2 linked regions of the Arabidopsis thaliana genome follow. The protein of the gene in region 2 interacts with the protein of the main gene of each other region in a pairwise test. Each region holds a gene or a part of one and is shown on either strand. Other genes may lie near its edges.

What was found. Proteins that work in one complex are often made in the same cells at the same time.
Region 1: the proteins of RFI2 (region 2) and ZFP3 interact in binary tests that used the Arabidopsis thaliana proteins (3 or more experiments, as listed by UniProt).

What each region holds. Positions count from the first base shown.
Region 1 is NC_003076.8:8,685,505-8,688,947, forward strand, and holds ZFP3 (zinc finger protein 3), read left to right. Parts: upstream 1-1,683; 5' UTR 1,684-2,019; coding exon 2,020-2,727; 3' UTR 2,728-2,911; downstream 2,912-3,443. UniProt on the Arabidopsis thaliana protein: Acts as a negative regulator of abscisic acid (ABA) signaling during germination and early seedling development. Involved in the regulation of vegetative development and fertility. Modulates red light signaling in seedling photomorphogenesis.
Region 2 is NC_003071.7:19,551,800-19,556,619, forward strand, and holds RFI2 (RING/U-box superfamily protein), read right to left. Parts: upstream 2,849-4,820; 5' UTR 2,553-2,848; coding exon 2,360-2,552; intron 1,987-2,359; coding exon 1,814-1,986; intron 1,693-1,813; coding exon 1,634-1,692; intron 1,527-1,633; coding exon 1,501-1,526; intron 1,412-1,500; coding exon 1,123-1,411; coding exon of another isoform or gene 1,044-1,122; coding exon 707-1,043; 3' UTR 515-706; downstream 1-514. Other genes in the region: AT2G47690 (NADH-ubiquinone oxidoreductase-like protein), read left to right, coding at 152-253; AT2G47710 (Adenine nucleotide alpha hydrolases-like superfamily protein), read right to left, coding at 3,246-3,333, 3,418-3,539, 3,777-3,871, 3,974-4,157. UniProt on the Arabidopsis thaliana protein: Mediates phytochrome (phyA and phyB)-controlled seedling deetiolation responses such as hypocotyl elongation in response to red and far-red light. Required for light-induced expression of LHCB3 and CHALCONE SYNTHASE (CHS).

The DNA of each region.
Region 1 (3,443 bases), on a different chromosome or scaffold from region 2:
CCCAAAAACACTTAGATGAACCCGGTTAGTGGTTAATACTTTTACTATATGATACTTAATTACTTACCGATAGCATTGACAGATTAAAAAATACACAAAAGCTTTGTCAAACAAAGAGATTTGAAAGACGAATCAAATCTCTCTACATACAGGGAAAATTATGAATAGCTACATGTCACCATCTGTTTAAAGTAAGATCCAATGTTCTCATCTGTATCTTTTGACTATGATTGATGACTATGTGACCTATATCATATAAATACAACGTGGTAAATTGTTATACTCATTAAGCTACCATAGTCCATAATACACTTTAATTTCCCAATTCACGATTTCACATTACTCACTAATCTAACATTTTATGATCAATCTATTGAGTATTGAGGATTGATGAAACAAAGAACGAAGGTATACTTAAATGGAGATGTCATATAACTCAGAAAGAACTTCACATATACATTTATTAAAGGAAAATTAGTTTTCTTATGAAAATAATTAGCCATTAATTAGAAACTGAAAACTCTTAATTAGCTTTTTCCCATTTTTGTGTCGGCCATATGTAACGTTGGACCCATCAACTAGGTCACAATTGGCATACGACAAATATACATAACTTTAAACCATTAGATCTTTTCTCTTTCATTACAAGCTAAAGTAATTCAAATTTAGCTAAATAAATTTAAACTAAAACTTTGGAAATGTGGTTTAGATTGTTATCAAAAGCTTAAGTGGGTTTGATCTTGCCGATGTGGCTTCCAAAAGAAAAGTATTAATTGGTTGAAGAAAGTGACTTTTGTCATGCAACCTAGTTGTATGTCATGATGTGAAATTAAGTGGGAAACCAAAATTCATATTGACAAATCCACTAAACTCTTTAGATGATAAAGTAGAAGAGCGTGTGGAAGTTTCAAATATCATTTCCTTTAAGATTACACAACAAGAGAAAGGTTGATCCATCATAAAGACGAAATATTCTTTAAGTCATATACATGGTCTACAATTTCTCACTAAGATACAAAGTAAAATCGATAAATATAATAATGAACGTACGAGTGGTTTCCAAGTTGTTCTAACCAGGTGCTTTGTCAAGATCATCGATCTATATTCTTACCCGAAATACTTACTTAACTATTATTACAAAGTTCGAATAACCAGTTCTTTTACTTTGTGATTAGTTTGAGCTTTGGTTTGACTCAATAGAAGACAAAAGAAAGAATAGATGAAGGAGAGGACCACACGAGAAGCCAAAGGAGACAGAAATGGTCACTTACCTCGTGGAGTTATACAAAAGTAGACATAAACAGACCTGAACAAATTTGGATGGTCCATGAACAGTACTCTTCCTTTTCAATTTTTATTGTCATCTTTCTCTTCTGTCATTTCATCATGATGTACTTACTATTTTGAGAAACTGCTTCGTTTTCCATTGTCTTTTCGATCCCTTAACTTCTTTTAGAAAATGTTCATACTTAAAATATTAAAGGATTCCTTAACATGCACTACAAAAAAAAAATTATTATGGATTGTGGATTACCAATGGTATAGTACTCATTTGGTTTACTTAGATATTTGGTCATTCATAAACTGAAAATCTAGAAACCCAAATAAATCTGAACCGGAATCAAAGCGAAATTTAAATTCTACACACTTAATGTATTTGTTGGACTATTGAAGGAGGAAGCAGCCAAAAAGGGTAAGAGTCATATATATAGATAGAGGTATTTAGATGGTGGAGTTCCAATCAACTAGCTTTAAAGTGTTTTGTGAGAAGGGTGTGACAGCAAACCAAACCTACCTATCGCTCTCATCATAGTACTTTGGTCCACTTATTACAAAACCCTAAGAAAATGTTCTAGTGTAGGGTCTTTGTTTCCTTTGTCTATTCCTTTCTAATACCATCTACTTCTGCTCCCATTCACTGATATAAACCTCTTCTCATAGCTATTATTGATAGAAAGAGACAGAGAAAGAGAAAGAAAAAAATCATCTCCTGAAAAAATCTATCCCTTTTTAGCTCTCATGGACGCTTCAATAGTTTCCTCATCCACTGCTTTTCCATATCAAGATTCTCTAAACCAGAGCATCGAAGACGAAGAAAGAGACGTTCATAATTCTAGTCACGAACTCAATCTCATCGACTGCATAGACGACACAACGAGTATCGTTAACGAATCTACAACATCCACAGAACAAAAGCTTTTCTCATGCAACTATTGTCAAAGAACTTTCTATAGCTCACAAGCACTTGGTGGTCACCAAAACGCACACAAGAGAGAGAGAACGTTGGCGAAGAGAGGACAACGTATGGCAGCGTCAGCCTCAGCTTTTGGACATCCTTACGGTTTCTCTCCACTTCCTTTCCACGGACAGTACAACAACCATAGGTCTTTAGGGATCCAAGCGCATTCGATAAGCCACAAGCTAAGTTCTTATAACGGGTTTGGTGGTCACTATGGTCAGATCAACTGGTCAAGACTTCCATTTGATCAACAACCAGCCATAGGTAAATTTCCCTCAATGGATAATTTTCATCATCATCATCATCAGATGATGATGATGGCTCCTTCAGTAAATTCACGGTCCAATAACATCGATAGCCCAAGCAACACAGGACGGGTTCTAGAAGGGTCACCGACTCTTGAACAATGGCACGGAGACAAAGGATTGTTGTTAAGTACAAGTCATCATGAAGAGCAGCAGAAACTTGACTTGTCCCTCAAGCTTTGAGATTCTTTTTCTTGATTCTTGAATTTAGTGTCTTTTTACTGTTTTTTCATGTGATTGTTAGTACTATTTTGTGTATATTTTTTTCTAGTAAAGATAATCTAATGTACATCTTTTTCACATATCTACTTTAGTCTGAGATTTGTAAACTATTAACTATACATTAATGGATTTCAAGTAGACATCCAACAACCGTATAAAGTATAGAGTAAAGGAAAAAAGAGAAGAAAAGTGAATATTGAGATCTGTGGGAAGATTTGATTTCAGAGTCACAAGAAAAAGGAATTAATATTATAATTCAAAGTTAGGTTACCTAAAAGTTAGAACAATCATTCTATTTGTTTAAAAGTTGCTAATAAGACATTTAAACAGAACAAAACAGATAGAAATAAACTATGAAGACAGTTGCTGTGTAGGATGATTGTGACACTAAAAGCAAAAGAGTACTAGAAGAAAAATTAAACACAATATCAAATACAATTCTTTGGTAGTATATACCAAAATACATGTAACGTTAAATAAACTAATAAAGCATCCAATGGGGTTCTCTTTGTTAGAGATTATTAGAAGGGCATCACATTGCTCCATATGTAAGAAAACATTAAAAGACAAAACTTGTCATAGATGTTGCTATCATCACTTCACGCGTGTTTTCGACAAATGGTCGAAACAGTATTCACCAAATAACCAAGAACTTCTCTCGACTAGCTAATCGACAA
Region 2 (4,820 bases):
GGAACTAAATCATCTCTGTACATGTTACAACTGTTTCTTCTGCAATTACACGGCTCTCTTAGAACATTACGATTGACACCAGTGGTTTCTTTACTTTGAATGAAGATGCTGTAAGTTTAAGTTTTTATGTGTTGTGTACCTGTTGTTGCAGTTTCAAAGAAGGAACAGGATATACAAGGAGGAGCAGCGTAAACTAAGAGCAGCTTCGAGGAAAGGTGAAGAAGCCGGAGATGGGACTCACAACCATCACTAGTCTCAACAATCCTCCTTCAAGCTTCATCCGATTCCAGAGAAGAATAATAAAAGGTTCATGGAAGATTTTGTATCTTGGAATCTCTAAACGCTTTGATTGTTTTTCAGTTTTCAATTTTATCCAATCATGTTCTGCTTTCTTTTTATGTTAAATCGTCTCTTTGAGACGTATACTTTTCCACCTGAATTATGGACATGTGGATTGTGGATCATTTACTTCTTCACTATTACTCCATCCAACCAGGAACAATGGCAACATTTTGTCGATAACTTGTGTTTAATTAATTATAACAATTGTTCTTGGAAAGCTCACAATGTACATTGGAAACCAGTTATAGTTACATCATAAACAAGTTTTGATCGATCAAACAAGTCCCCAGTTTTCTTTTATACATTGATCATTAAGCCTGATAGAATTCTCCCAGGCGACTGTAGAGTTCTGACACAACTTCTCTCAGAAGTGTCTATGCCACAAGCTAGGGATCGTGCGATGATTCGATGGGACAGGGAAATGTGGGAACCAATCTCTCTCCCATGCATGAATTTGATCGGTTTCTGGTTCATGGTGTCCACCTGGATAAATGAAGAATCCAACGTTCTGATCTGGCATTGGTGGGGGAGGTGGCGGCGGCGGTAATCCCCTTCTTGTCATGGAGATGAGAGGTGATGCGAGAGTGGGACCATTGGCATGATGTTGTTGCCTCTGATGATTATAAGCATGATGCTGTTCACGCATTTGGGTGCTGCTTCCTTGGTAACTGTTAATTGCTGGTGAGGACCTTTGATTAGACCTACAATGCCCAATTCCAAAAGAATATTGTAAAACACTCTGCAAGAAGTTGAGAGCAATAGGGAGTTTGAGAAGCTAACCGGTGACTAAAAAGAAATGGATGCGCATAAGGTAGGCCTCGTGCTGCTGAAGAGTCAACTTCACCATCAACCACATGAGCAGCGGGTAGTGAAAACGATGGGGAATGGTGATGATACTGGGGGGCAACAGGAAGCTGGTGAAAGTGATCGTTAGAGTGGCTGTTCCAGGGATGATCATCTGTGCTGTTATTGTCGCTAGTTCTCGGGGTAGCGGCTGGGCCAGGTCCAACATATGCAAGATACGAATGATTCACAGCAGCGGCGTGATGTCCATGGAACTCAGTATGATCTAAGGAAGAAATATGGGTTTTGACATTATAAACGGATTGCTAGACAAAATGAAATGATTATATACAGAACAATCAGCGTCTAACTTACATGTAGTGGTTGCAGGTTCCAGTTCCCTGAAACACAGAGCAAAAGTCAATTCTAGCTTTCGCGTTTGAAGGATCAAAAGCCTTAGAAAAGAGAGATAATAGCAAAAACCATGGTAAAGGTGTTGTAGGCTTACTCGAAAGAAGCTGCTGCTTGAGAGAGTTCACCAAACGGGCACCAATGGACCCGATATTGCTGCAAACCCCGTAAAAATGTCAGGATAAGCGATCTCTCATAAGGAGGTTATATGATAAAAGCACAGTTCTCATGTACACGAAAAGAAAGCATATCGTTGCACAAAGTAGTGAGCTTTTACCATTTCCGGATAGCTTAAACCGTACAAGTCTTCTTCAGGGATCCAATCTTCCATGGAAAACTCTGGAAAGGGGCGAGTAGAACCGTTTGCATACAACCACTGACCCTTTTCGACATTGCGACAGTTAGGGCATTGCATGGCTCCTTTCATGTTAAATGCTGATCCAATGCAATCTGCAAGAAACCAAAAAACAAGCTGCTAAAGGGAAAGCCGAAAATAGCAACAAATTCAGCAGCCAGATAATAGAACTAGCAAGCCTCATTCTATATCTACACAAGAGAAGAAACCGATTCACAAGTTACGACACACATTTGTCAGAACTCGATCATTTCTAGGATCAACCAACTGCAGAGTCGTGGCAATCTAAGCTTGTAAACAAAGCAAGGGATTAGGAATCCATCTATATTCTCAAATTCATTCAATTATCGTCCAAATCTACCATCAGATAATTGCACAAAAGCTTGTACAAGCAAAAAGCCATCGGATCATCAAACTGTGATGGAGGGAACGCAAAATGGTAAGAGATGGAGGAAGGGAATGAAATACCCAAATGGAACTGGTGACCACATTGGAGCTTAGCCTTGGATCTGGTACCATCATCGAGCACCGATTCGAGGCAAATCGAGCACGAGACTTCGACAGGAGACGAGGAATCCTCCGGGTTCCCGCGTTTTCCAGGGTCACATCCACCAGCAATTCGGAGATCATCATCGCAACCCGAATCTTTAGCTCCGGCCATATCTTCACCAGCAGGCCAAATCGGAGGGAACCAACGAAAATTTTCGTTTTTCGAAAGAACAAAAAAAAAGAAAAGAAAGGATTGTCAAACAAAAATCAATGAGAAACCATGTCTCGCTATCGCTATCTGTCTCTCCGAGTTCGTCTGCCTTTTGGAACGCCGATGCGGTAAATCTATCCTTCCTCTTCCTCTCTCTCTCTCTCTCTCTCTCGTCCGACCTGTTAGAGATGACGTGGTTCAAAACCGGACAATGACATTGGACTCTCCCTTTTCTTTTCTTTCCTCTCCCATTGTGGATAATTTTTTATTATTATTTTATTACTTTAGTTTTGGATAGATGATCATCAAACCATCCATCCATCTGAACCAACAACCAAACTATAAATTTGTTCATTTAAATCATTAATCTCTATTTAGTTGATTTGTTTTCTTCTCTAGTCTCTTTCATATGAAGTTTATTATAACTTTCACATCCATTTTGTTATGAGAAAGATTAGCATATTATAACACACGAATATTGATTGTCTAAGGATACCAAAACATTGTATGTAGTAAACAATTACACATATAGATGCAAATGTATATTGTCTTGAATCGTTGTTTCACATCAAGCTAATATTATTTCACTTTATTCTTCTGAATTAGAAGACTATGCAGAGACTTTGCTTTGACCGAGTAGCCTTCCCTTAGGTTTCAGACCTTGATCTTAGGCTTCTTCACGATCATCACCGAGCAATGAGCATGATGAGCGCAGTAGTCACTCGTACTCCCGAGAACCGCCCTGCCACACAAACCGACAAGTGAATCAGAATGGGTGTATAGTTGAAAGATTGATCATAAGAATTAAGGCTGAATGAAATAATACCTCTTGATAGCTCCATATCCATGGCTTCCCACAACAAGAATAGAAGCATGATGCTTATCTACAACTTCACATAGGATATTCCTTGCATCACCTTCGAAAACTTCGATCACCGCGCCATGAACCTACACAACAAACCTAGGAATGATGATTGAAAAGAAGAAGATAGTTGCTAACCAAAGATAGATAGTTACTATAAGAAAAACCAGTGCTACTTAGCTTGAAGCTCTTAAATGTGCTAGAGATTCACATTCACATTACCAAACTCATCTAATAGAGTCCAATACAACACATGATGACGATTATAAAATCCAAGAAACACATAAAACGAATTTGAATGTTTGATAATAGCAAGATCGTACCGATCTGCTCTGACAAATTGCTTTGGCTTTCTCGACAACCTTAGCAGCGGTATGCTTCAGATCAGCATCAACATAAGGTACAACCTCCGCAGTTCCTAAAACACACAGATTAACAAAACCTAAATGATCTCTCCCCATCGCTGCCCAAAACAGAACCCCTAGAAGAGTAGATTCGAGAGTGAAAGCAAAGAGCGTACCGGGACCAGCGAGACCAACGGCGGAGACGGCGTTAGGTTTGGCGTGGACGATGAAGAGCTTAAAAGGATAATTGGGAGCGTAAGGAGCGAAGAAACGATCGAGCGTCCACTCCAAGGCGTAAGTGCTCTGCTCGCTGTCGTCAACTCCGACGACCATCACCGATTTCCCATCTCCGGTGGCCATGACTCTGACGTTGTTCGCCGGCGTGAAGAAAACGCGCTCTTGTGTTTGTGGTAGAAAGAAGCCTAGAAGAATCCTCCAAAGTGTTTGCACAGAAAAAGAGAGTTTTGGTATCTTCTTCTTCTATTATTTAATTTCTTTAAATAAAAAGAAAAGAGGAATGTGATACTTTGATTTGATGACGTGGCTGGTCCTCATTTCTTTATGCCTTTCCATTAGTAAATTTCCCAATATTTAAAGTTACCCACAGATTTTAAATAAGAAGAACCCACAGATTTTACACAAAATTTATTCTAATTTGAATATTACCCATAAAACAAAGTACATAAAAGGATTTTGCAGGTTAACAGTTATTAGCTTTTTAGTAACAAACTGATATGAATTGGTTTGATAACTTTCGATTTTACTTGGAAATTAACTATTACAAGAAAAATCTAATTTCAAATAGTGGAATGATTTGAGTTGGGTAAAATCCGGCTCAGATGATAACAATTACAAAATAAAAATGAGACGGCCGGCTGTAGAATAATATGACGACGTGAAGCAAAAGCAGGAGTGCGACAGAAACCTCTCTAACCAAATTGCTTTTAGTTATATTCTTCTTCGTCTTGACGCTACTCTTTACCTTTTTTTATCTGATTTCAGATTTCTCCAGAATCTTCAGAT